Arabidopsis thaliana: one gene and its partners. The protein of the gene in region 1 purifies or fractionates together with the protein of each later gene. This does not show direct contact. Each region holds a gene or a part of one and is shown on either strand. Other genes may lie near its edges.

Region 1 (9,829 bases):
CGTCTCTGTTCTCTTGACCAATTCAAAATTTTATCACTTTCAATGAGGTTTTTGACTGTTATTGGTTTTATCTTCTTAGGTTGAAGCTGAGGAACATCCTGAGATATCTGAGGCTTACTCTGTTGCTGCTGTGCCTTATTTCGTCTTCTTCAAGGTAAAGTTACGTTTTTTTTGTTCCCTATGATTTGATCAAAACTTAGGATTTAGGGTTTTTGTTTTTGCTTAAAGTTGTTTGTCTAATTTGGTAGAAGAAGAAGACATTGATGAAGTCATACTTATTGATTCTTTATGTTGCTTTGTTTGGTTGCAATTTTCTGTCTTTATAGCATTGAGAGTGTGTTCAAAAGTTTGAATCTTTGTCCCTATGTTTTGATCGAAAGTTTAGGATTTAGGGTTTTTGTTTTGATTAGTTTGCGTCTCTGTTAGATTACTGAAAGCTGTTTATCTAATCAGGTAGTAGAAGAAGATGGTTCGCCTATCCATTTAGCTCCAGACTTATTGATTCTTTGTTTTAATTGGTTGGTTGCAATTTTCTGTCTTTATAGGATTGAGAGTGTGTTCAAAGCTTGAATCTTTGTCACTGCACTGTAATGATTGTTCTGAAAGTTGTTACTTTCTTCTGACTGTGAATTCGTTTTCTTATTGAAGGATGGTAAAACTGTGGATACACTTGAGGGTGCAGATCCATCAAGTTTAGCTAATAAGGTTGGCAAAGTTGCTGGTTCTAGTACTTCTGCGGAGCCTGCTGCTCCTGCAAGCTTAGGGTTGGCTGCTGGGCCAACGATTCTTGAAACTGTGAAGGAGAATGCGAAAGCTTCTTTACAAGACCGAGCTCAGCCTGTATCTACCGCCGATGCTCTCAAGAGCCGTTTGGAAAAGCTCACTAATTCTCACCCTGTCATGTTATTCATGAAAGGTATTCCTGAAGAGCCTAGGTGTGGGTTTAGCAGGAAAGTAGTTGACATTTTGAAAGAGGTTAACGTTGATTTTGGAAGTTTTGACATACTATCGGATAACGAAGTGCGAGAGGGTTTGAAGAAATTCTCTAACTGGCCAACGTTTCCTCAGCTGTACTGCAACGGAGAGCTTCTTGGTGGAGCTGATATCGCAATAGCGATGCACGAGAGCGGTGAACTAAAAGATGCTTTCAAAGATCTTGGGATCACGACAGTTGGTTCAAAAGAAAGTCAGGATGAAGCTGGAAAAGGAGGAGGGGTTAGTTCAGGAAACACAGGCTTAAGTGAGACCCTCCGAGCTCGGCTCGAAGGTCTGGTCAATTCCAAACCAGTTATGCTGTTCATGAAAGGAAGACCAGAAGAACCAAAGTGTGGGTTCAGTGGGAAAGTGGTTGAAATCCTCAACCAAGAAAAAATCGAGTTTGGGAGTTTCGATATCCTCTTAGATGACGAAGTTCGCCAAGGCCTTAAAGTGTATTCAAACTGGTCAAGCTATCCTCAGCTTTACGTGAAAGGCGAGCTTATGGGTGGATCAGACATTGTCTTGGAGATGCAAAAGAGCGGTGAGCTGAAAAAGGTCTTGACCGAGAAAGGGATCACTGGAGAACAGAGTCTTGAAGATAGATTGAAGGCACTGATCAATTCCTCGGAAGTAATGCTATTCATGAAAGGTTCACCAGATGAACCGAAATGCGGATTTAGCTCCAAAGTTGTGAAAGCATTGAGAGGAGAAAACGTGAGTTTCGGATCGTTTGATATCTTGACTGATGAAGAAGTAAGGCAAGGGATTAAGAATTTCTCAAACTGGCCAACTTTTCCTCAGCTATACTACAAAGGTGAGTTAATTGGAGGATGTGATATCATTATGGAGCTAAGTGAGAGTGGTGATCTCAAAGCAACTCTATCCGAGTAAGTAATATATACAAGTCTCTGTCTGCTGGTTTGCCTTGGTGAGAGAGAACATTTCAGTTATGGTAATAATATGTTTTAGGTGTTACAAACATTGATATTGTTGCTTCTCAAGCTTTGTCTTGTTATTTCTATTGCTGAGTCTATTAGATTCATAACTATTTTTCTCTCTTTGTATCAACATAATCTTTATTTATGGTTATCTTGACCACATTTGCTTTTAGACTGAGTAACAAAACAAAGAGTGGTTTAAACAAAGAAAGCTTGATCCGACGGCTAGGATTAACACCAATCTTTCTATGTTACAGAGTTTCTTAAGATCCGACGGCTGGGATTTTGTGTGATTAAACTCAAATTTCTTAGAATCAAACCGAATGGAAATCATTTGTTTAGAGTTTAGACCAAACTGCAATCGAGCATTAACCGAGACTTTGTACATTTAAACAAGATTTAAACCAAAAGTCATCATAATTTTAAAATTGATACTGATATTGACAATTAGTTAAATATTAAACTAAAATGGTTTTGGTTTTACATTTCAATGACTTTTAGCCAAAACCGAACCATAATTTTACCAAACCAAATTTAACATTCTCCAAACCAAATAAAGAACCTGTATAAACCGAGCGGACACTTAAACCGGAAAATAAAATTAAAATTCGGACAAAGAAATTTCGTTAAACCCTAAACCCCAAAGGTCTTGTTTGCTGTATCTCCTCCATCGCTCCTGCGCCGCGTTTTCTCTCTCAAGCTCTTAAAAAACCTTTCTTTGATTTGATAATCCTAAAATCGTTTTTCCGAGGAAACCCTAATTTCTTGTTCGAACTCGAAAGATGGGAATTTTCGAACCGTTTAGAGCAATAGGTTACATAACGAGTACGGTTCCGTTCTCCGTCCAGCGATTGGGTACCGAGACTTTCGTCACCGTCAGCGTCGGCAAAGCTTTCCAGATTTATAATGTAACGCTCCCAATCTTCATAGTTTCACTTGCGTGTTCTTTATTCATTCGATTCTGTTGTTAATTTGGTTCTCTTGTTGCAGTGTGCCAAGCTCAATCTAGTCATAATCAGTAAGTTTTTCCTTCTTCTGAAACCTAAAGTTTTGTCCTTTCAATCATTCTCTTACTCAAATTCATGCATTTAGAATTGGGTTTTGTCTATGCAGTGTAAATTTTCTTATAATCTAATTTGTGTTATCTTAAAGGTCCTCAGCTTCCAAAGAAAATTAGAGCTTTAGCTTCTTACCGAGACTACACATTTGTTGCGTTTGGCAATGAAATCGCTGTCTTTAGGCGTGCTCATCAGGTATATCTCATTGTAACTATAGTTAAGTTGCTGCTTTTTTTATATCTATGAGTACTTTGTTTATAGTTGGAATTCTTGTGGGTATATCTATAGGTAGCAACTTGGAGCAAACATGTTGCTAAAGTTGATCTTCTACTGGTGTTTGGAGAACATGTGCTTAGTCTTGACGTGGAAGGAAATATGTTCATATGGGCATTCAAAGGAATCGAAGAACATCTAGCTCCAATTGGAAATCTTCAGCTTACTGGAAAGTTTACCCCTACCTCTATTGTTCACCCAGATACCTATCTCAACAAGGTGAGTCATACTTGGTTCAGGATTTCAGTTTTTTTTCCCCTGGTGTCTTCTGTTGACAAGCCTTTCTAACTCTTTGCATGTTTCTCTTACTTGGAACCACATTGGTAGGTTCTTGTAGGGAGCCAAGAGGGTCCGCTGCAGCTATGGAATATTAATACTAAGAAGATGCTCTATCAGTTTAAGGGTTGGGGTTCATCTGTCACCAGTTGTGTTTCATCCCCTGCCCTGGATGTTGTTGCAATTGGTTGTGCTGATGGAAAGATCCATGTACATAACATAAAATTGGACGAAGAGATCGTAACATTTGAACATGCCTCGCGAGGTGCTGTTACTGCTTTGTCTTTCAGTACAGGTAAACACCTAAGCCCTGTAGTTCTATTTGTAAAATCTTTGAGCGCTTCTTGGTTTTATTACCTTTTAAATCTAATTTCGTAGCGGATAATAGTTTATCAATCTTTTCTTGCTGATAGATATCCTATGAGTGTAGTGACCAAAAATAATTTCGTCCATTTGTCTTTAAGTGGAGCTAAATATTTATTTTTCCATTACATAGCTTTACCATCTATGCACCCATTGTTTCATGAATTAGAATTGTCCATACATGTTTCAGGCTCAAGAGATCCATTAGTGTAGGTTGTAATTTTACTAGTAACTTTTGGTAGTAACCGTTCTATAGCTAATGGAAGTTCGATACTTTCCAGTTCTAACATGTGTTGTTTATCCTGTCATGTTAGATGGACGTCCCCTTCTTGCGTCTGGAGGTTCCTTTGGTGTCATAAGCATCTGGAATCTTAACAAAAAAAGGCTTCAGTCAGTCATTAGGGATGCACATGACAGTTCTATAATCTCATTGAACTTTTTAGCCAATGAGCCGGTGCTAATGAGTGCATCAGCAGATAACTCACTTAAAGTAAGCTAAGATTCCTCTTACCCGTTGAACCTATTTGCATCCACTTTGCCACATATAATATTTGTTTTATGCCTCGTTCCTGTAGATGTGGATTTTTGACACAAATGATGGTGATCCTCGCCTATTACGCTTCCGATCTGGGCATAGTGCTCCTCCTCTATGTATCAGGTAATTAGCTTGACGTCCACATCATACTGAATTATCTGATTGCTTCCATTTAGCTTTTCTTTCGTTATTGTGAGACTTTATACATTTTGGTGTGTAAGTAGCATTTATGATCCCTATTCGTTGTTAAAGTAATTCCATTTATGATCCCTGCCAGTTGACTATCTGTGTAGTGATGAATATTTGTGTTTCTTAATAAGAGTATTTACTTCATGGTGGCTATATCGAGGGCATGCCAATAAAGGGTCTCTTAATCATATCTGACTTCTACTTGTGGTAGGTTCTACTCTAATGGACGGCACATTTTGTCTGCTGGCCAGGATCGTGCCTTCCGCCTGTTCTCTGTCATCCAGGTAAGATACGATACAGATTTAGTAACCAATTCTATATCGAGATTTAATACAACTAACTAGCATATTGATAGTCTGTAACTTTTGAGCTATATTGTAGACATTGACTATTCATTTGTCACTTTACAATCACAAATGTTAGGAAATTAGTCTTCCTTGGGCATTGAACAGATAATCATAAAAGATTGTTGAGTTCATTTTTGTCATATTAATTAATTAATTAGCAATCATTTTCCTCATCATGTACTGTTTAGACGCAAAGTTTAGTTTTTCTTATTCCGTCTTTCATTCGCCATATCTTACTGTTATTTTGATGGGTATTTTTTCACCGACCTGTTTGTTTGATTTTTTCATGAATCTGATTGTTCTCTTAAATGTTGAGTTATTGTTTCTTAATTTGTGGTCTGTATTGTTACTAAAGATCTGATGTCCATTGACGATAACAGTTTTTAATTTACATTAATTACTTCATCAGGAGCAACAAAGTAGAGAGCTTTCTCAAAGACACATTTCTAGGCGAGCCAAAAAACTCCGACTGAAGGTATAGCCAAAGGATTTCTTTTAATTTTATTCAAGTTTTCCATGGCCAGTTAGCATGCTTCAAGTGGTTCTGATTCAATTTAACAAATGTTATACCTTATGTATACTGTGTTTTGATATTTTATGTGTCCGTAGTAATATGTGTGCTTGGAAATTATATCTTTTTCGCTTATATTCTTTTTCCTCTATATGTAGGAGGAAGAGTTGAAATTGAAGCCTGTTGTTTCATTTGATTGCGGTACGTATCTATATAACTTGATCTTTACTTTTCATGTAATTATGTTGCTTGGTTTCTTTCAGTCACATTCTTAATATTATGATGTCTGAACAAACAAGACTAAAAAGTAGAAACCAATTGATTTCTACAAAATGTGTTGAGCAGTAATTAGGTCCAAAATGGTTGGCTCTCAATAGTGAAAACGTTTATTGGTTGAACCCCATAGAGAAATTACATTTTGTGAAGTGAAGCTTACATCTTACTTTATGTTGTCCTATGAATTTGCATGTTGATGACGAGAAAACTGCATCTCCCACAACTTATATTATTGTCTAGTTATACATCCTACTGACTGTTATTATTTTTTTTCCAAAAATTGAAGCTGAAATTAGGGAGCGTGATTGGTGCAATGTTGTTACTTGCCATATGGATACAGCAGAAGCATATGTATGGAGACTTCAGAACTTTGTACTTGGAGAGCATATCCTCAAACCATGCCCTGAGAATCCAACACCAATTAAGGTTCAAAATTGAAATTATATTTACTTCTGACACTCTTCTGAACAAGAAAAGTAGACGTGCTTTAGTCCTTATAGGTGGGAATTGATTACTGTGAGAACTTGGAATTTGGATTATTGACCCCCCTTGAATAACCAATTCTACAAAAAATGAGTTTAGTTACAGTTCCTTATAGCATGTTCAGGGGGTCTTTGTATCTAGGAACCATCTTCTTTTAGCAATACTGGTCTTTTTCTTCTCTCTAGTGGTTGTTGATCTCTTAAAAAATTGCTTGTCTGATAGGCATGTGCAATCAGTGCCTGTGGAAACTTTGCAGTAGTCGGAACAGCTGGTGGATGGATTGAGAGATTCAACCTCCAATCTGGAATCAGCCGGGGTAGTTACTTCGATATGTCAGAGAAAAGAAGGTACGCCCATGATGGAGAAGTTATTGGAGTTGCTTGCGACTCCACAAACACACTCATGATTAGTGCAGGATATCATGGGGACTTAAAGGTTTGGAATGTTTTCTTGTTCTTTCTTTAAGTTATTAATTACTTAGTTGATATGGTTACCTTCAACATTAACTCTAGTTTATGAGTCAAATAGACTCTAATATTTCATTTGTGTAATACAGGTTTGGGATTTCAAAAAGCGGGAATTAAAGTCCCAGTGGGATGTCGGATGTTCGTTGGTTAAAATTGTCTACCACCGTGTAAATGGTAAATTTTCCTAATCTAACCCTACATTTTCACTTGTACGATCTCACAAATGTATCATTTTCCGTCATTTTCTCCTAGGGTACCACCGTATTGACTCTGACTTTGCTAATTTCTTATCAATTGGTAGGTCTTTTGGCTACAGTGGCGGATGATTTTGTTATCCGTTTATATGATGTTGTGACACTAAAGATGGTTCGTGAATTTAGAGGTCATACAGACCGTATAACGGATTTGTGCTTTAGTGAGGATGGCAAATGGGTCATCTCATCTAGCATGGATGGAAGTCTTAGAATATGGGATGTCATATTGGCTAAGCAGATTGATGGTGTGCATGTCGATGTGCCAATAACAGCATTGTCTTTATCACCAAATATGGACGTTTTGGCAACTGCCCACTCTGATCAGAACGGGGTCTACTTGTGGTAAATTCTCAAATCAATCTTCAGTTCTCTCATTTACTATTACAATTTCTCTGTGATTGTTTGATGAGTTCACTCTCTCCTCTTGTGACCTCTCAGGGTTAACCAATCCATGTTCTCTGGGCTTCCAAGTGTTGAATCTTATGCTAGTGGGAAAGATGTCGTAAATGTCAAGTTGCCTTCAGTCTCTGCATTGACATCTTCTGAAGCTGATGATGATATGGACAGGCAAGTGTTAGAAAATTCTGAAGCTCTACAAGCTAGCAGTTTCTCAATTTCCCAAAAGCAGATCCCAGAACTTGTTACTCTGTCTCTATTGCCAAAAAGCCAATGGCAGAGTTTGATCAACTTGGATATTATTAAGGTATGCATATTCTTTTTCTTCTCAACTTTTTATTGATGGTTTGTTTCTTTGTTGCGTCTTCCAGTTACAATTTATATTTGATGTTGTTTCATAGGCCCGCAATAAACCAATAGAGCCTCCAAAGAAACCTGAAAAGGCTCCTTTTTTCTTGCCCTCAATTCCCTCGCTGTCTGGAGATATATTATTCAAGGCAAATGACTCTGAGGCTGATGGGGAGAATGAGGAAAATAATAAAAAGGACCAGAATAGCATGAAGAACTTTGATGCATTGGAATCTCCATTCTCAAAACATCTCAAGTCTTCATGGGATTCAAAACACTGTAAGTGATGGTATTTGTTTAAGTTTTACAGGTTAATCAAAGCTTTTCTCGTCAATGTACAATACGATTCTTAGCTCCATGTATGTTTTGCAGTTTTAGATTTTACCAACTACATGAAGAGTTTATCCCCGTCAGCTCTCGACATGGAGCTTCGGATGCTTGAAATCATAGATGAAGATGTTGAAGAAGAGCTTATCAAAAGACCTGAGTTTATATTGATTGGGCAACTTCTGGATTACTTCATCAACGAGGTCTCTTGCAAAAACGACTTTGAGTTTATGCAGGCGGTTGTGAAACTATTTCTGAAGGTAAATGTAAATTTCATTTCCAGTATAACCAAGGAATCAGTTTCTTACAGAGACACCTTTAGGTTACAAGAATCTTGACTCTTAACAAAACTCGGTTTATCTGTTGACAGATCCACGGTGAGACCATAAGGTGCCACCCGAGTTTACAAGAGAAGGCGAAGAAGCTTTTAGAAACTCAGAGTTTGGTGTGGCAGAAAATGGAGAAGCTTTTCCAGAGCACAAGATGCATAGTTACCTTCCTTAGCAATTCACAGTTTTGAAGAAGCTTACTAACTTATTGCTCTGTTTTTGATGTTGCTCTGTTTTTTCACAAAAATAGCAATTTTGAAGAAGCTTAATATATTGCCCTGTCTTTTAGCATTAACATGTATCAAATGGAACATGTCAACGTTATCCTGAATTGGATGATAGGGTTTAAATTCCGTGAGAAATCATAAAATCTGCAACCTAAGATCACAGATTTGTCCTCCAATAAAGTTGAAAAAATCAACCCTCAAAACAAAAATACTAAAATAGAATAAAAGAAGAGTTTGATGTAAGAAACAAAGAAAAATTAGTCAGACTTTGAGAGCTTCCTCTTCATTCTGCTATAAGGACCAACTGTTGTATCCATAATATACATATAAATCACTTGTGACCATGACTTATACGACTCCAATCCTTCATAATACTCTCCTGCAATCTCCTTCACCAAATGCAGCTTATTTCCCGGTATCCTCGGGAAATCGTGATGCTCGTTATGGTAACCAACACTCCATGTTAGTAGATTCAATGGACCGTAATACGAATAAGTCTCTTGATTCGGGTTAAAAACATAATGTTCCGAGATAAAATGTCCCGCCATTGGATGCATACCGCCTCCAACAAATGTCGATAAGATTAGATACGCGAAAGATCTCCATCCGAAGAAGAGAACAACTGATACATCTAAAACAATCTGAATCAAGAAGTTGATGAACTCCCAGTAGCCAGGTGGTTTTGGTTTGATGAAGATAGGACGAAGAGCGTAAAAGAAGAGTTGTAAGAAAACCCAAATTGTTTTGGCAAAGATATTGGTTACTAAATGAGCTTCGGTGTAAGTAGGAACATCCATGTCAATACCATCTACTCCTTGGAACCGATGATGCTCGAGATGGTATTTTTGGAAAGTTACTGACATTGGTACACCGATTGGGAGATTTGCGAAAATACCGAGACAACGATTGTAGACAGGAGTTGAAAAGGCAAGGTTGTGACTTAGCTCATGGATTGCTAAGAAGAGATTGTGGTTGAGGAATGATCCAAAGAAGTAAGCAATGGATAGAATCTTGAGCCATCCAGAGTTGTGAAGGATTGCAGCTGTTGAGAGTTGAAGAATTACTACTAATGTGATCTGTATAGACAACAAATACAAAATTGGTTATTCATTTGGGTTTAGATAACATCAAAACAAATTTTAATATTTTGAAAGATTTTGGGTGAAATGTGACATTCATCAACCCAAAATCTAACCAAATTTTAGCTAATAGCCCTAACGATAGAGAAACTTTTATGCCAAATAAGCAGAATCT
Region 2 (7,761 bases), on another chromosome or scaffold:
TTTAACATATCCTTTACTAAATGGCCGTCACTGATTATTTCGCCGGTGAGATAGCGACGGAGCTTTTGAAGCAGCTCTTTCTGATATCTGCGAGAGCAGGCCGGTACAAAAACACAGCCGACAACCTCAGCACCTTGATCGAGAACATTCAACCGACGATCAAAGAGATCCAGTACAGTGGAGTTGAGCTGCCTGCTCACCGCCAGGCTCAAATCCGTATACTCTTTGAGTCTCTAGAGAAGGGCAAGAAACTCATGGACAAATTCTTAACATGCAATCGTTGGAATATGATTCGACAGTTATATCTCATGAAGAAAATGGAGAAGCTAGAGAAGACCCTCTCTGATTTCTTTAGGGCTTCCATTTTGACACACATCCTTGCCGATCTTCATCTTCTCCGGGCCAATTCTGATGAACGTTCCCATGAGGTCTATCTATCTTTGTTTTCTTCTCTCTCCCTTGTGATTTCTTGTTCACCAAGTTTGAAGGCCATCTCTATAATACTCGTTTCTTTTGCAGCACGTCACATCAACCAAAGGGTGTGACTACGACGGACTTGGCTCAATTCAGTACCAGCACATCCAGCCTAACCTAGACATGGATATGCGGGTCACCATTTTGGAGGCTGAATTCCGCACCTTCTCCAACAACGTCATCAACAACATGCTTGCGATGAAGCGAGCGCAAGATGTCTTACTACGAGCCAACGGCTTTGACCCCGAGACCCTCCTACCGATGATGTCTCCTCCTGCAGCCTCCATGAATCCTCCTGCTTGACCACATACGACTTAGGATACTTGCAACCCACTCAACCTTGCGGACTACGATCTTTAAAACACAAATTGCTTTCGATTTATGTTTTTCAATTTGTTAAATTATGTTTCAGTCACAATTTTAAATATAATTTATCGTCCACTACTCTGTTTTAGCTTCTTCTTTTTCCATACGTTACAATTGACCTTACTTTTTTACGTATTAAAGAGAGAATTGGTTTATACACCTCAAATCAGCAGGTTCTACATGATGAATGAAGCCCTTTTAATATCAAAACAACCCTTTTAGTAGCTGAAGGAATCAGATTGTATCTCTAACAAAAAGGCTACCAACAAAATGATGTTATCCAAGTTGGGTTCCAAAATATGGGGTCTCTCAAGAGCTATGTCTTTCAGGTTGTCTATCTGCTCTCTCACACACCTCTTTCTGCATCCGGGAACTGAAGAACGAAGCGCACAAGTCGGGGAAAGGCGGGAAATTGAGTGTTGATCCACAAAACATTGTTTCCCAAGGTTTCTCTGACATCAATGCTTTCTTCCTAGATCTCTTCTTCTTTTTGCTTATTGCTGCAAGAAAAACTTCATAATCTATGGCGCTAGTCTCGAGTTTTTCATCGCTATAAGGATCAAATAGAACATATTCATGGCTCCTGTTTACATACGCGAGAAGCGGCTGAGACTTTTTACCATCTTCCACAAATGAAAGTGTTCCTCCTCTGGCCTGCAATAAACATTGTAATCAAGTCTCTTAACGGCAATGAGAGAACTTTGATTAATCCTTCCTTAGAGTATATACCTTCATTACAGTCCAAATAGCTACTGGTTTAGGGCCTGACCCATCAAACAAGAGGATAGCACCATCTTTCCCGCGGAATATCTGTTCGTTAGATTTTACCAACCTATCAGATTCTGGAAGCCATGTTAAAACTGCAAAGTATGGTGAGTCCACTTCAGTAGCAATGGCTGCAAATAAACAGGAAAAATGAAATATACTTAGACAACCAAAAAAATCAAGATTTCATGATCAAAAAGATAAATAATAAACCTTCTATGTATAATCTATATGACCATGATAAGCAGAACGTCATCAGATCCCAGACAGATAAGTGCGGTGTGGAACCATGGGATGCAGCAATAAGGAAGCCTCCTCCAGTGAATGAGAGTTCCATAATTGGCTGAAACATTTACATATCATTTAAGATTTCAACAATGACTGTAACTAATGAACATGGAATTGCTTTTGTGTGTTATACAAGTCTTACCGCATTTGCCTTTCCAACTACATACAGGAGTTCGTTCTTTAACGGGTGCCAGATCGTAATAACTGTTTTAGCCGCAAGAGCCAGACAAGAACCATCCCCGGAAAAAACAGCAGCTGTTATTGGCGTTCTCCTGAAAAATATTACATCAATTTCATTTGACATCACAACGACTAAGTAATGAGAGATGTTAAAAGGTTCCTAATCTTTTACTTATAAGAGCCAACTCCATGACAAATCCAGTTTGAGTCCTCAGGTGTCAGATTCTTGTCGCTACTGCAAACCCAAATCTTGACAGACATAAAGTCATATCAGTAACACAAAAGGTCAAACGATATTCCAAGGAAATGATCCATTTTTCACTACTCTGTAATCCTACCTTGAAGTCCCCAGCAGAAGATATACTAACAGCCATGGAACGGGCGGGGTTAAGGGCAATGGCTGTAATTGCAGCTTCCCTGTGAGAATACAGAAGGATCAAAAGTTACACTCACGATGAGAATCAAGGAGTTTAAAAGTTTATAAGAACATTGAAGTAAAAACCTGTGAGGTTGATTTATGACTGTCGATAAGCTGAAAGTTTTGCTGTCCGGTACAAATACCCAAAACTTGAGAGAAACTATGCCTTCACTGAAATTGCTTGCAGCAAATCTGGCCTCAGCTGTAGTCATTACTGAGCCATTCCGAGAGAGAGCAACCGCAGTCACGAGAACCTATTTTCCATAATTCTTCAAATTATTACAAAACAGAAAGAGAGCGGATCTTTTACTAGTAACAACTATGTCATCTTACAGAGAAGAAACAAAATGTACTAACCCGGACTTGATCATCATCGTCTGGATGATGATCGCAAATTTGAACCTGCATATGTTAGGTTTGTTAAATAGTAAAATCATACAACTATCAGATACAAAACTCAATAAGCCTTTTGGGAAGCTAACCTCTGAAATGTCATGGTCACTTAAAAGGTTGTAGAGTTGAACACGATGATTCGCTGTGCAGAAAGCAGCTATACCGGAAGAACGATCAATGGATACAGTTCTGGTGAGGCATATATCCCGCGTTTTGACGTAGCATATAAACCCGTGACGCTCTGGTGTCGGAGGCTATTACATAGTAAAGAACACAATATGCATGTGAAGTTAACTCCAACAGAAACGGTATACAATATGAGCATGCTTAAACCAACAATAACAAGGAAAAATTTCGGATGATAGTAAGAACGAACCTTGATTCCAGATATCGTTCTCAATATCTCCATGGAAGGCATTTTAAGAAGATGAATTTGATTATCTGCACAAATCACCTGAAAATTCTTGATCTTAGTAGAGTTAATGAAACACTTCATTTGCTTTCTACGGTTGTTGTAAACGGAAAAACTCTTACAGAAGAAAGAGTTGAATCTGAAGAGAAGATGAAATACAACAAGGGAGATCCAATCTTTGGCAAAAGTTGCTTCTTCCCTGTACCTAGCTCCCAAACAACAAAATCACCTGCCTTTACCCCTAAAAGAGTCACAAGCAAAGGAAATATAGCATAAGAACTCAATATATATATATATAAGAAACATGAATTCCTTATCAACACACAGAGATACAGTCACTATGATGAAAAAATAACTCAGACTCACCAGAATACAAAAGTGCTCCATCTGAAGAGAAATTAAGGACGGTTACTTCAGCGCTGTGCCAGTTGAAAGTAGTGCAAGATTCAGTATCATCTTCAGTTTTCACTGAAGTAAATTCTCCAATACCATTATCCTTCCAAATTAACACTCTTCCTGTTACATCACCGGCTGCTAATATTCTCTGATTGGGATGGAAAGCAAAAACAGTAATCAACTCTGTATGATGTAATGTCGTCTCCTTTGGCATGAGGTGCTCTGATGCCACATTCCATATATGTATACTGCAGTTATGACAGACGCCGAAAAACTCTCCAGAGGGACTTAAAACAATAGGTTTTGGTTCTTCCATCTGCACATTAACAAAAATGATTATAGAATCAAACATGAGGCTAATCGAAAAATGGTTAATCCACAAATCTGACCTCTTTCAAAGTGTCTCCACTATGAAGAGGGTCTTGAGTGAGATCATATCTCCGGATTTGTCCAAACAAATCTTTGGACACACTTGAATAGTCCTCAACCGAAACATAAGCAATCACGGAATGTGACACTTGAGCTGGAATCATCACCTACAAAGTCCCAACAGACACTTAGAAAAGGGCAATTGAAAGTTATCAAATTTTTGTTTATAAGCTGCAAAGTATGGAACTTTAACAGACCAGAGAGTGAATTGGAAGGTGGGTATCAAATATCTTCAAAAGCTTCGGCGCAGAGAACTCCCAAATCCGAATTTTCCCATCGAGCGACGAAGTCCAACAGTAACTGACGGTTTCGTCGGAAGACGGATCAACAATCACAGACGTCACAGGCGCTGTATGATCCTCGAGTGAAGTAATCTTAAAAACACACACACGCATACGCTAATGAGAGAAGAAGATTAGAGGGAAACCCTAAAAGGAAGGATGCTCGAGTCGAGAGATAAAACCTTTAAGCCAGTGGCGACGCTGTAAACAGAGACGGTGTTGGCTGTGCATAAAAGAAGCTTCTTTGCGTCTTTCGAAAACGCCGGAGCGGAAGTAATGTTGTTTCTTCCGCCGCGAATCATTTTCCTTCAACTCACGGAGATTCTGAGAAGACGCAAACATCTTACTCGGCGATTAAAAATTAGATTTTGCGACGTTTTTCCGACGAAATATTACAATGTACCCAGTTTTCGAGGAAATTATGTCTGTGACCAAATTGCGACTAGTACTTAGTACTATATGCTTGTACTTGTAGTTTCACTTTCTTCGTAACACCTGGCTCTGTGATGACTCCTCTCATTCTCTTCCTCCATGTTTGGGTTTCGCTTCTTGGACTAGGCCTTGACCTTGTTGGGCCTCGGCCTGTTTGTTTATTTTTTCTGTTTTATCTTTAATAAAATGAGACGGCAAGAAAATAACTTACATAATTTTTCAAGATCTTAAGTATTTTGTATTTTCTTAATTTATGTGAAAAACCCTGTGGATAAACAAAATATAATGTATAGTCCAATAATTGGAAATTTTGTAGTTAACAAACTCACTTCGTTTTAACAAAATATGGATGGATGATTCAGAGGCATAGTATGCGACATTAACTGTATTACAATGGTCGACAATGACTTTGATTTTTGAGGTCGTCCAATAAATACTAAAATGTATGGGTATGATTTTAGGTTGACCAATAAACTTCGATATCCATCGTTAATTCCATGAATGTTTTAAAAAACTGAAGTTGCTTCTATTATATATAAGTTAATCTATTTTATAATTTTATTTTATGACAGTTTAGCTATAATTTCTTTTCAAAAACATTTATGTTCTTAATTTATCAATCTATCACTTTCCTCGTCAACATATTACTTTTTTTATAAATCTTTTGCATATGACTAGCTTATCGGAAAATCGTTCATATAGATAGCGACATAACTAAAATAAAATTAGAAAGATGATATTGTTTTGATATAGTGTTTGTTTGTCTTGTTTCAAAAGACTATGCAATCAACTAGTTGTGCGTCTTGTGGATCTAACAGTTTTAAAAATGTTTAGGGTCAATAGTTTAATCAGACTTGGAACGGTAGTTTATACCTTTAGATACAATATTATCTAAGGTTAATTTATGTCATGGAAAAGTTATATATAGACAAAATGTTCAAAAAATTTAGGATTTATTGTGAAAAAACGAGAAATGGTAGATGATTCATATACATATCAACTTATTCCAAAGTAAAAAGTTTAAGAAATAAGAAAAATAAAAATTGTAGCGTAACAAACATTGACATATGGCTCGTTGGAAACAAACTAAATGTAATAATTATAGTTGTTCATCAAACTATTCGCATACAACCATCATGAACGATGACTAAAAATGGGAGACAAAGTGGGACTTTTGTAAATCCTACGTTTAATGAATTAGAATGTTGAATTATTTTTTCAGATTTTTATACATATGAATTGTTGCTTTCAGTGTTCTCTTAACCAATGAAAGTAAAGATGCTCAAAGGCTAAATATAAAGAAGATAAATTTCATTTCTCTTGATTATTCTCTTTAGGGTTTAAGATTACATCATGTTTCCTTTCATAGGCATTATAATCTTAGTGACACTAGGGTTTTCACTGACACATGTCAGGTCTCTATTGATCCTAGACAGTCAAAACAGTTTTGTAAAACCACTCCTTCTTTTCCAGCACAGCTCCTTGTTTTTGTCCTTTGATCCAATCTTGATGTACTTTTGGTTTTGTCTTCTTTTGCAGGAGATGACCGTTGGAGCTGAGAGTTGTTTAGGGTCTGCGCTTGGGCCTGTTGTTTATTGGGCTTGAGGTTTGCTGCATTCTCAATTTGGCCCAATCTCAGAACCTTCTTGATAATGTCATCTGAAGAATTTACCTTTACAGATTCCTCTGCTTCGTGTCCGATCACAGCTCTGATCTGGTTCTTCTCTTCACCAATCCGAGTTGTTGTCTCAACACAAGATGCATTCTCTCTAATAGCCCCCCGCAAACTCGGCGTAGGTGGAACATCGACGCCTAGTTTGTAACGAAGATCGCAGAACGGCTTGATGGGGAGAGATTTGGTGAAGATGTCCGCGATCTGTTGATGACCAGGTATGTGCTTCACAATCAGAGCTCCAAGTGCTACTCTCTCTCGAACATAATGATAGTGTAGCTGAAAGTGTTTACTTCTTTTGTGGAAAGCTGGATTCGCAGAGAGATACACGGAGGAGAGATTGTCGCAATAGATTTCTGGAGTGTCAAGTAGAGGAATGCCCAATTCCTTGAGAACAGATCCTAACCAGGTTACCTCCGAGGCAGTGTCAGACAGAGTTCGATATTCAGCTTCGGTTGAGCTTTTGGAGACTGAATCTTGCTTTTGTGAGGACCATGAGATGATATTTGTACCAAGGAAGGTACAGTAACCTCCAATGGATCTTCGTGAGTCTATGCAATTTCCATAATCACTATCACAGTAAGCTCTCAATCTGCAATATGTGTTCTTATTAAAGGAGATCCCCATTGTTATAGTTCCCTTGATGTACCTCAGAATTCGTTTGAGCAGATTGAAGTCAGACACTGTTGGAGCATGCATCTTCTGGCAAACAAAGTTAACAGCAAACTGTATATCAGGTCTTGTTAAGGTAAGATATTGAAGTTTACCTGCAAGACTTCTGAAATATGTTGGATTGTCAAAGATTTCATCTTGTGCAGGTATAGCAGTCAACTGAAGTGGCAGATGAGTAGGCATTGGAGCACAATCACTCATCACAGCCACAGCAAGAAGATCTTCTGCATACTTCTGTTGGGAGAGAAACATTCCTTCTGAATGAAACTGCACTTGAATCCCCAAAAAGTAATGTAGTCTTCCCATATCTTTCATTCTGAATTCAGTATTCAAGCTGTCTAATAGCTTTGACATCGCATCTGAACTGTTTCCTGTTATTATCATGTCATCAACGTAAAGCAGCAGCAGGATGATACTCTTGTTCTTGATGTATACAAACAAGGATGGATCCGGCTTGCTACATTCAAAGCCAAACTCAATCAGATAAGTGCTAAATTTATCAAACCAAGCACGTGGGAATTGTTTTAATCCGTAGATAGACTTATGCAAAAGACAGACATGATCTGGCTTTGATTTCTCTACA
Region 3 (7,668 bases), on another chromosome or scaffold:
TCCTCAATACGGCTGATATCATTAACCGGTTTACGAGGGTTGCTGGTGAGCTGTTTGGTATGTTGATCTCCGTTCTGTTCATTCAACAAGCCATTAAGGGTATGGTGAGTGAGTTTGGGATGCCAAAAGATGAGGACTCAAAACTAGAAAAGTATAAGTTTGAGTGGCTCTATACAAACGGACTTCTCGGCCTCATTTTCACCTTTGGCCTTCTCTACACCGCTTTGAAGAGTCGAAAAGCAAGGTCTTGGCGATACGGAACAGGTAAGATAGATGAACCTTCTCATGCTTTGGTGGTCATTTCTGTGTATGATCGGTCTAAAAGTTTCTGGTTTCTTGAAAAGGATGGTACAGAAGCTTCATCGCAGACTATGGAGTTCCTTTGATGGTTGTGGTTTGGACAGCATTGTCTTTTAGTACACCATCAAAACTCCCCTCTGGTGTCCCGAGAAGACTCTTTAGTCCTTTACCATGGGACTCTCCTTCTTTATCACATTGGACTGTCATCAAGGTTACAAAAACACAGTACACTAAAGATAATTGATTCATCATCCGAGCCAAACTTAAAGTTTTAATACATGGATTTGGTCTGTACAGGACATGGGAAAAGTCTCTCCGGGTTACATATTTGCGGCATTTATACCCGCATTGATGATCGCAGGGCTTTACTTCTTTGACCACAGCGTTGCCTCGCAGCTCGCTCAGCAGAAGGAGTTCAACCTCAAGAAGCCTTCAGCGTATCACTATGACATTCTCTTGTTGGGTTTCATGGTATAATCAATCAAACTACCTTTACAACATTGAAAATATATGTTAAAATCTCTAAAACTTTGTCTTTGTTTCAGACGTTGATATGTGGATTGCTAGGTCTGCCTCCTTCAAATGGAGTCCTCCCTCAGTCTCCTATGCATACCAAAAGCCTTGCTGTTCTTAAACGACAGGTTTAATTACTTCTCAGTTGTTGATCCACTCACTATTCAGGTTAAGCTGGTCTTAATGAACCTGTTTGATTTTCAGTTGATCCGGAGGAAGATGGTAAAGACAGCCAAAGAAAGCATCAGGAAGAGAGAAACATCCTCACAAGTGTACGAGAATATGCAAGAAGTCTTCATAGAAATGGATAAAAGTCCACTTGTAAGTAGTAGACTCATAATTCAATGTTCCGGTGAAAGAAAAATCAAGATTTAATTTAGAATAATCATAAGCTCTTGCTTTTAAAAACCAGGCTCAGACAGATCCATCAGTGATAATTGAGCTTCAAGATCTGAAAGAAGCAGTAATGAAGAGCAATGATGAAGAAAGAGAGGGAGACGAGGAGAGTGGTTTTGATCCAGAGAAGCACCTTGACGCTTACTTGCCTGTTCGAGTCAACGAGCAGAGAGTTAGCAACTTGTTGCAGTCACTGCTTGTGGCAGGTGCAGTGTTGGCTATGCCGGCCATTAAGCTCATACCGACTTCCATTCTATGGGGATACTTTGCTTACATGGCCATCGACAGCCTCCCGGGAAATCAATTCTTCGAACGCTTAACGCTTCTCTTCGTTCCAACAAGCCGGAGATTCAAGTATATGTTCTGAAAATGATCTGTTTTTTTTTTCTTCAAGTTATTATTATTCAGATTTCTCTTCAAAGACTGATCATGCATTGTTGTTTTCAGGGTCTTGGAGGGAGCACACGCGTCGTTCGTGGAGAAAGTTCCTTACAAGTCAATGGCTGCGTTCACACTGTTGCAGATATTCTACTTTGGGCTGTGCTATGGGGTGACGTGGATTCCGGTGGCTGGAATCATGTTTCCGGTTCCTTTCTTCCTCTTAATAGCTATCAGACAGTACATTCTCCCGAAGCTCTTTAACCCGGCCCATCTCCGAGAACTCGATGCCGCTGAGTACGAGGAAATCCCCGGTACTCCGAGAAACCCGCTGGAACTGTCTTTCCGGGTTAGTCCATATCTTAGCAATATCTACATTTTTGAGGATCCCGGACTTTGGACTAAACCATGGAGGTTTTCTTGTCATCTAAGGCATCTACAGTGACCTAAAATATTTGAATTTGTTGAATTTAATGCCAAAATAAACTTGTTTTACAGTCGAATGACTCGAAGAGAGGCGTCCAAGAAGGCGATGCTGAGATTTTAGACGAGTTAACGACAAGCAGAGGCGAGCTTAAAGTCCGTACATTGAATCTTAACGAAGACAAAGGCAACCAGGTTTTGTTTTGTTATGCATCCTTGATATGAATCTTAACTTTGTGAAAAGAATTATAGACTCAAGATCGCTGTTAAAAACCTGCAGATTTATCCCAAGGAGAAAGTAAAAGCAGGAGACGGGGACATGAGCACGACAAGGGAGTGAGTGAATCAACAAAAAGAATCAGAGATTATTCTTTCAAGTGATGATCATGATCATGATCATACGCAAAACTATATAGTATTGTAGAACACAGATTGTATGTGGCTTTCTTTTTTTTTTTGGTTCTTAAACCTAAGATGATGTGTGTGTTTGTCAATATAGTCTTCTTAGCAATGAAAATCGATAAAGAATTAACACAGCGAGAATGTTACGGATATGTAACGTAACCTTCCAAGAAAAGGTACTAAATTTCAAAAAAGTCAATGTGTTCCTCATAATTTCAATCTATGAGTCAATAATCACTTTACCATAGACTAAAATTCATTTTGTTAACTTTTTGTGTAGAAGAAAAGCAAAGGATAGCTTCTCTTCTATGGTAAAGATGCGAATCTGTAGTTTGTTTGATGTTCTCTGCAAAATTCGCATGTATAAAATTAATTAAACGTTTAGAAATATAATAGATGAACTTTATAGTACAAAGGATCCGTGGCGCAATGGTAGCGCGTCTGACTCCAGATCAGAAGGTTGCGTGTTCGATTCACGTCGGGTTCAAATATCCCGAATCTTGATCCTTAATTTTTTTTTCCTCTTGGGCTTACTACGACTACATAAGGAGGAAGCCCATATATGCCCAACAACTAAAATCCAGTTCATAACAGAAACCCTCGTTAAACCTAACGCCGTAATTATCGCCTCCGGCATATCAATCCTCCGCCTTCTCATTCTTCTCCAGACGCCATGGAGTTCCGTTTCGAGAATCTTCTTGGCGCTCCTTACAGAGGCGGGAACGCAGTCATCACTAAGAATACTCAGCTAATTTCACCGGTTGGTAATCGTGTCTCCGTCACCGACCTAAGTAAGAACCATTCGGTCACTCTTCCGCTCGAAACCTCTACCAACATATGTCGCCTCGCTTCCTCACCCGACGGTACTTTCCTACTCGCCGTCGATGAACAAAACCGATGCCTTTTCATCAACTTGCCTCGGCGGGTAGTTCTTCACAGAATTACCTTCAAGGATAAAGTCGGTGCCTTGAAGTTCAGCCCTAATGGTAAGTTTATCGCTGTTGGAATTGGTAAGTTGGTGGAAATATGGCGATCACCTGGTTTCAGGCGAGCTGTTTTGCCCTTTGAGCGGGTTAGGACTTTTGCTAATTCTGATGATAAAGTTGTCTCCTTGGAGTGGAGCTTGGACTCTGATTATTTGCTTGTTGGCTCAAGGGATTTAGCTGCTAGGTTGTTTTGTGTTAGAAAGTTGAAGGGTGTTTTAAATAAGCCATTTTTGTTTCTGGGTCATAGAGATTCTGTTGTGGGTTGCTTCTTTGGTGTTGATAAAATGACTAACAAGGTCAACAGGGCTTTCACGATTGCAAGGGATGGTTACATTTTTAGTTGGGGCTATACTGAAAAGGATGTCAAAATGGATGAATCAGAAGATGGCCACTCTGAGCCACCGTCACCTGTTACTCCAGATAGGGCTGATGAGGTGATGGTGGAAAATGGTGGTGGTGTTGGTACTGAGCTTAAGAAACGAAAAGAGTATGACGGTAAAGGTCTTGAATCAGATGAAGAAGGAGATGATGATGATGAAGAGTATATGCACAGAGGAAAATGGGTTTTGTTGAGGAAGGATGGGTGTAATCAGGCATCAGCAAAGGTGACCGCTTGCGACTATCATCAGGGACTTGACATGGTTGTGGTGGGGTTCTCAAATGGTGTTTTTGGGCTTTATCAGATGCCAGATTTCATCTGTATCCATCTGCTCTCTATTTCTAGGCAGAAGCTAACAACAGCTGTCTTCAATGAGCGTGGTAATTGGCTGACCTTTGGTTGCGCGAAACTTGGGCAACTGTTAGTCTGGGATTGGCGAACCGAAACCTATATACTGAAGCAACAAGGACACTATTTTGACGTCAACTGTGTCACTTACTCACCGGATTCGCAGCTCTTGGCAACTGGTGCTGATGATAACAAAGTCAAGGTAATGAAATTTCATAGACTTAACTGTTATGTTCTATACCATGCTTCTCATCTATTTCTGAATTTAACCAGCCCGTTTTTTATTATGTTACATTTTTAAGGTGTGGAACGTTATGTCAGGAACATGTTTCATTACATTCACCGAGCATACCAATGCCGTGACTGCTCTTCATTTTATGGCTGACAACCACTCCCTCTTAAGTGCATCTCTGGACGGCACTGTTCGTGCTTGGGATTTTAAAAGATACAAGAACTATAAGACATACACAACCCCTACACCCCGACAATTTGTTTCCTTAACAGCAGACCCGAGTGGTGACGTCGTCTGTGCTGGGACCCTAGATTCATTCGAGGTAATTCAACTTAGGCCCTGAAGGATTTCAGTCACCTACTCACAAATACTTTGGTGAGGTGAATCACTTTATGCTTGCCTATGTGCAGATTTTTGTATGGTCCAAGAAGACTGGGCAAATAAAGGATATTCTGAGTGGGCATGAGGCTCCTGTTCATGGGTTGATGTTTTCTCCCTTAACGGTAAAGAAACTGTCATAGTCTCATACTTCTTTTAGTCAAAATACAATTTGCTTCGTGCCTCTGAACAATTATGTGAACTTCTGCCTTATGGTGTTATAACTTCCATGCCTTATCTAGTTCATATATTTCTTTCTCTGCAGCAACTTTTAGCTTCATCCTCATGGGACTATACAGTTCGGTTGTGGGATGTGTTTGCTAGCAAAGGCACCGTGGAAACGTTTCGACACAACCACGATGTTCTAACAGTTGCTTTCCGTCCTGATGGGAAGCAATTAGCCTCGAGTACGCTAGATGGGCAGATCAATTTCTGGGACACCATTGAAGGTGTGTTAATGTACACCATAGAGGGGCGGAGAGATATCGCTGGAGGTCGGGTCATGACTGACCGTCGGTCTGCAGCTAATTCAAGTTCTGGAAAGTGTTTTACAACATTGTGCTATTCCGCTGATGGAGGGTATATTCTAGCCGCAGGAACTAGCAGATATATTTGCATGTATGATATCGCAGATCAGGTTAGCTAACTAGCTCCTCTTGGAGTTCAGGTTTTCTTAAAGCTTGTGTTCTTCTGATAAAGAAACTTAGTCAAAGTGTCTGGAATATCACCTTTTCAGGTTCTTCTGCGCCGGTTTCAGATATCCCATAATCTTTCGTTAGATGGGGTTCTGGACTTCTTGCACTCTAAGAAGATGACAGAAGCAGGACCAATTGATCTGATCGATGATGACAACAGCGATGAAGAAGGTGGCATTGATAAACAGTCGAGAGGGAATCTGGGTTACGATCTGCCTGGATCCAGGCCTAACCGTGGCAGGCCCATTATCCGGACAAAAAGCCTCAGCATTGCCCCAACTGGAAGGAGCTTTGCTGCTGCAACAACAGAAGGAGTCCTCATCTTTTCAATTGACGATACCTTCATCTTTGATCCGACCGATCTAGATATAGATGTTACTCCAGAGGTGAGCCTTTTGTAAATCGCTGATGGTGGTTATAGTTCTGATTATTGGTTTTGAAATGTAAAGCTAAGGTGTTGTTTGTGTAGGCTGTTGAGGCTGCCATAGAAGAGGATGAAGTTAGCAGAGCACTTGCTCTAAGTATGCGTTTGAACGAAGATAGCCTTATCAAAAAATGCATCTTCGCTGTAGCCCCTGCAGACATAAAAGCTGTTGCCATCTCTGTCCGCCAGAAATACTTAGAAAGGCTTATGGAAGCTTTGGTGGATCTGCTTGAGAACTGTCCTCATCTGGAGTTCATACTTCACTGGTGTCAGGTAATGTCTCGTTTTCTTCTCTTTTTTGATAAATCTCTGCTCAAATGCTCTCAACTTAATCAAACTTTGTGTTGTCTTTTTATGTGCAGGAAATCTGCAAGGCTCACGGAAGCTCCATTCAGCGGAACTACAGAACTCTATTGCCTGCACTGAGATCGTTGCAGAAGGCGATCACCAGAGCCCATCAGGATCTGGCAGATATGTGTTCTTCCAATGAGTACACGCTTCGCTACTTGTGTTCTGTTCCAAACAATCATTGATTATGTTTTCTGCATTATGTATCACCGGAAATTTTCATCTTCCTTTTTCGGTTAAACAAATTTTGAGATTTTGATATATGAGTTTCTAACATCTGAATACAAAATGGAGCAAAGAAATTAAACAGTTTGCAGGCAACCATAAAAAGTACGAAGAATGTGAATAATTTGATTTAAGCAGAGATTTTTGAATAGGCAAAAGATGATCCTAGCTATGAAGACTTCACTAACAGAAGCTAACATACAAACAATATTAAATTTATGCCTAGAACAAGAACTGATGTCGCTACAAGAACATTACATTATGATAAAAATCAAGAGACATCAAAACTTTTGGAAGAATTCCTCATAGACTCTGGCACTCAGAATCTTCATGGCGTCCATCTGGGATACATGGGGGCATGGAACTCCAGACGGGGTATGTGAGCCGGGTAATTGTCGGTGCTTGCACGGCTCTCCATGGACGCACCAAGAAACAGATTATGCACCAACGCATCAAAGTTGAGATCAATCATGGGATGACGATATGGAAGCTGATGGAGAGAAGTCGCCAACAATCTCTGTTCTGCATCCCATCTCTGACGAGCGTTGAGCATTTCAATGTACTCCGCCTCTCTCTCCAACTGCTCCCACATGTGTTGCTCCCAAGGGTCTAACTTTGGCGGTGTAAAACCAGGATGCTCAGTTTTCAAGTGATTTTTCAGCTGCGCATAGGTCCCTGAGAAATCGCACTTGTCAACAGTACAACACCTCGGTCTAGCATTCATGAATCTCCGAGCACAAGTCGACTTCATAGTCCCCTGAACCTCTCCTCTGCAGTAGGGACAATGTAGAGTCTTGCCACTACAACGGCTTGAGCTGTTGCTTCTGCGGTACTGCTTGAAACAATTGGAGTGACGAGCGCTTGTATCACACATGTAAGCACGACATCCTTTGGAGAAAGAAGAGCATTGCAAGAGGACAGCATTGTGAGGAGGCTCCATACAAATCACACACCTCACATCCTCCCATTCACTAACACTCTCTAACTCAACAGGTGACGACGACGCCTCGACTTCTTTTTGTTTCTTGTTCCTGCAAGAGCGAAGCGGGTATGGCGATACTCTATTTCTGTTGCTAGAAACCGGCATTTTCCCTCTTTCCTTGTGCATCCCACACACTGAAATCAATAGAAACGAGTGTTAATTCACACAACAAAATAACACAGATGAATATGAAAGCCAAAGAATCCATAATCCATTACATCCGAATAGATACAACCCAAATGTTAAACAAAGATCAAGG

Evidence for each region. The genes of interacting proteins can lie anywhere in the genome.
Region 2: the proteins of AT4G04940 (region 1) and AT3G26480 fractionate together in Arabidopsis thaliana (co-fractionation; one large-scale study listed by BioGRID). This does not show direct contact.
Region 3: the proteins of AT4G04940 (region 1) and PWP2 fractionate together in Arabidopsis thaliana (co-fractionation; one large-scale study listed by BioGRID). This does not show direct contact.

Annotation. Positions count from the first base shown.
Region 1 is NC_003075.7:2,509,922-2,519,750, reverse strand, and holds AT4G04940 (transducin family protein / WD-40 repeat family protein), read left to right. Parts: upstream 1-2,533; 5' UTR 2,534-2,698; coding exon 2,699-2,824; intron 2,825-2,906; coding exon 2,907-2,934; intron 2,935-3,047; exon of another isoform or gene 3,048-3,068; coding exon 3,069-3,169; intron 3,170-3,262; coding exon 3,263-3,466; intron 3,467-3,574; coding exon 3,575-3,818; intron 3,819-4,200; coding exon 4,201-4,376; intron 4,377-4,461; coding exon 4,462-4,544; intron 4,545-4,821; coding exon 4,822-4,894; intron 4,895-5,366; coding exon 5,367-5,432; intron 5,433-5,626; coding exon 5,627-5,669; intron 5,670-6,030; coding exon 6,031-6,170; intron 6,171-6,449; coding exon 6,450-6,662; intron 6,663-6,783; coding exon 6,784-6,868; intron 6,869-6,995; coding exon 6,996-7,290; intron 7,291-7,386; coding exon 7,387-7,651; intron 7,652-7,745; coding exon 7,746-7,971; intron 7,972-8,064; coding exon 8,065-8,279; intron 8,280-8,389; coding exon 8,390-8,539; 3' UTR 8,540-8,723; downstream 8,724-9,829. Other genes in the region: GRXS17 (thioredoxin family protein), read left to right, coding at 80-154, 649-1,869; DES-1-LIKE (fatty acid desaturase family protein), read right to left, coding at 8,833-9,651.
Region 2 is NC_003074.8:9,686,124-9,693,884, forward strand, and holds AT3G26480 (Transducin family protein / WD-40 repeat family protein), read right to left. Parts: upstream 4,844-7,761; 5' UTR 4,705-4,843; coding exon 4,585-4,704; intron 4,496-4,584; coding exon 4,319-4,495; intron 4,229-4,318; coding exon 4,082-4,228; intron 4,009-4,081; coding exon 3,663-4,008; intron 3,538-3,662; coding exon 3,419-3,537; intron 3,339-3,418; coding exon 3,261-3,338; intron 3,139-3,260; coding exon 2,974-3,138; intron 2,894-2,973; coding exon 2,849-2,893; intron 2,746-2,848; coding exon 2,576-2,745; intron 2,491-2,575; coding exon 2,412-2,490; intron 2,323-2,411; coding exon 2,246-2,322; intron 2,166-2,245; coding exon 2,036-2,165; intron 1,949-2,035; coding exon 1,819-1,948; intron 1,737-1,818; coding exon 1,570-1,736; coding exon of another isoform or gene 1,546-1,569; intron 1,520-1,545; exon of another isoform or gene 1,495-1,519; coding exon 1,150-1,494; downstream 1-1,149. Other genes in the region: AT3G26470 (Powdery mildew resistance protein, RPW8 domain-containing protein), read left to right, coding at 21-428, 520-777.
Region 3 is NC_003070.9:5,304,878-5,312,545, reverse strand, and holds PWP2 (periodic tryptophan protein 2), read left to right. Parts: upstream 1-2,987; 5' UTR 2,988-3,085; coding exon 3,086-4,327; intron 4,328-4,427; coding exon 4,428-4,679; intron 4,680-4,767; coding exon 4,768-4,860; intron 4,861-5,000; coding exon 5,001-5,372; intron 5,373-5,471; coding exon 5,472-5,816; intron 5,817-5,899; coding exon 5,900-6,127; intron 6,128-6,216; coding exon 6,217-6,387; 3' UTR 6,388-6,519; downstream 6,520-7,668. Other genes in the region: BOR4 (HCO3- transporter family), read left to right, coding at 1-264, 345-511, 598-771, 846-941, 1,018-1,134, 1,226-1,563, 1,657-1,936, 2,086-2,205 and 1 more; AT1G15430 (hypothetical protein (DUF1644)), read right to left, coding at 6,756-7,535. UniProt on the Arabidopsis thaliana protein: Involved in nucleolar processing of pre-18S ribosomal RNA. Plays a role early in ribosome biogenesis, especially in the maturation of 5.8S rRNA. Required for guard cell functions.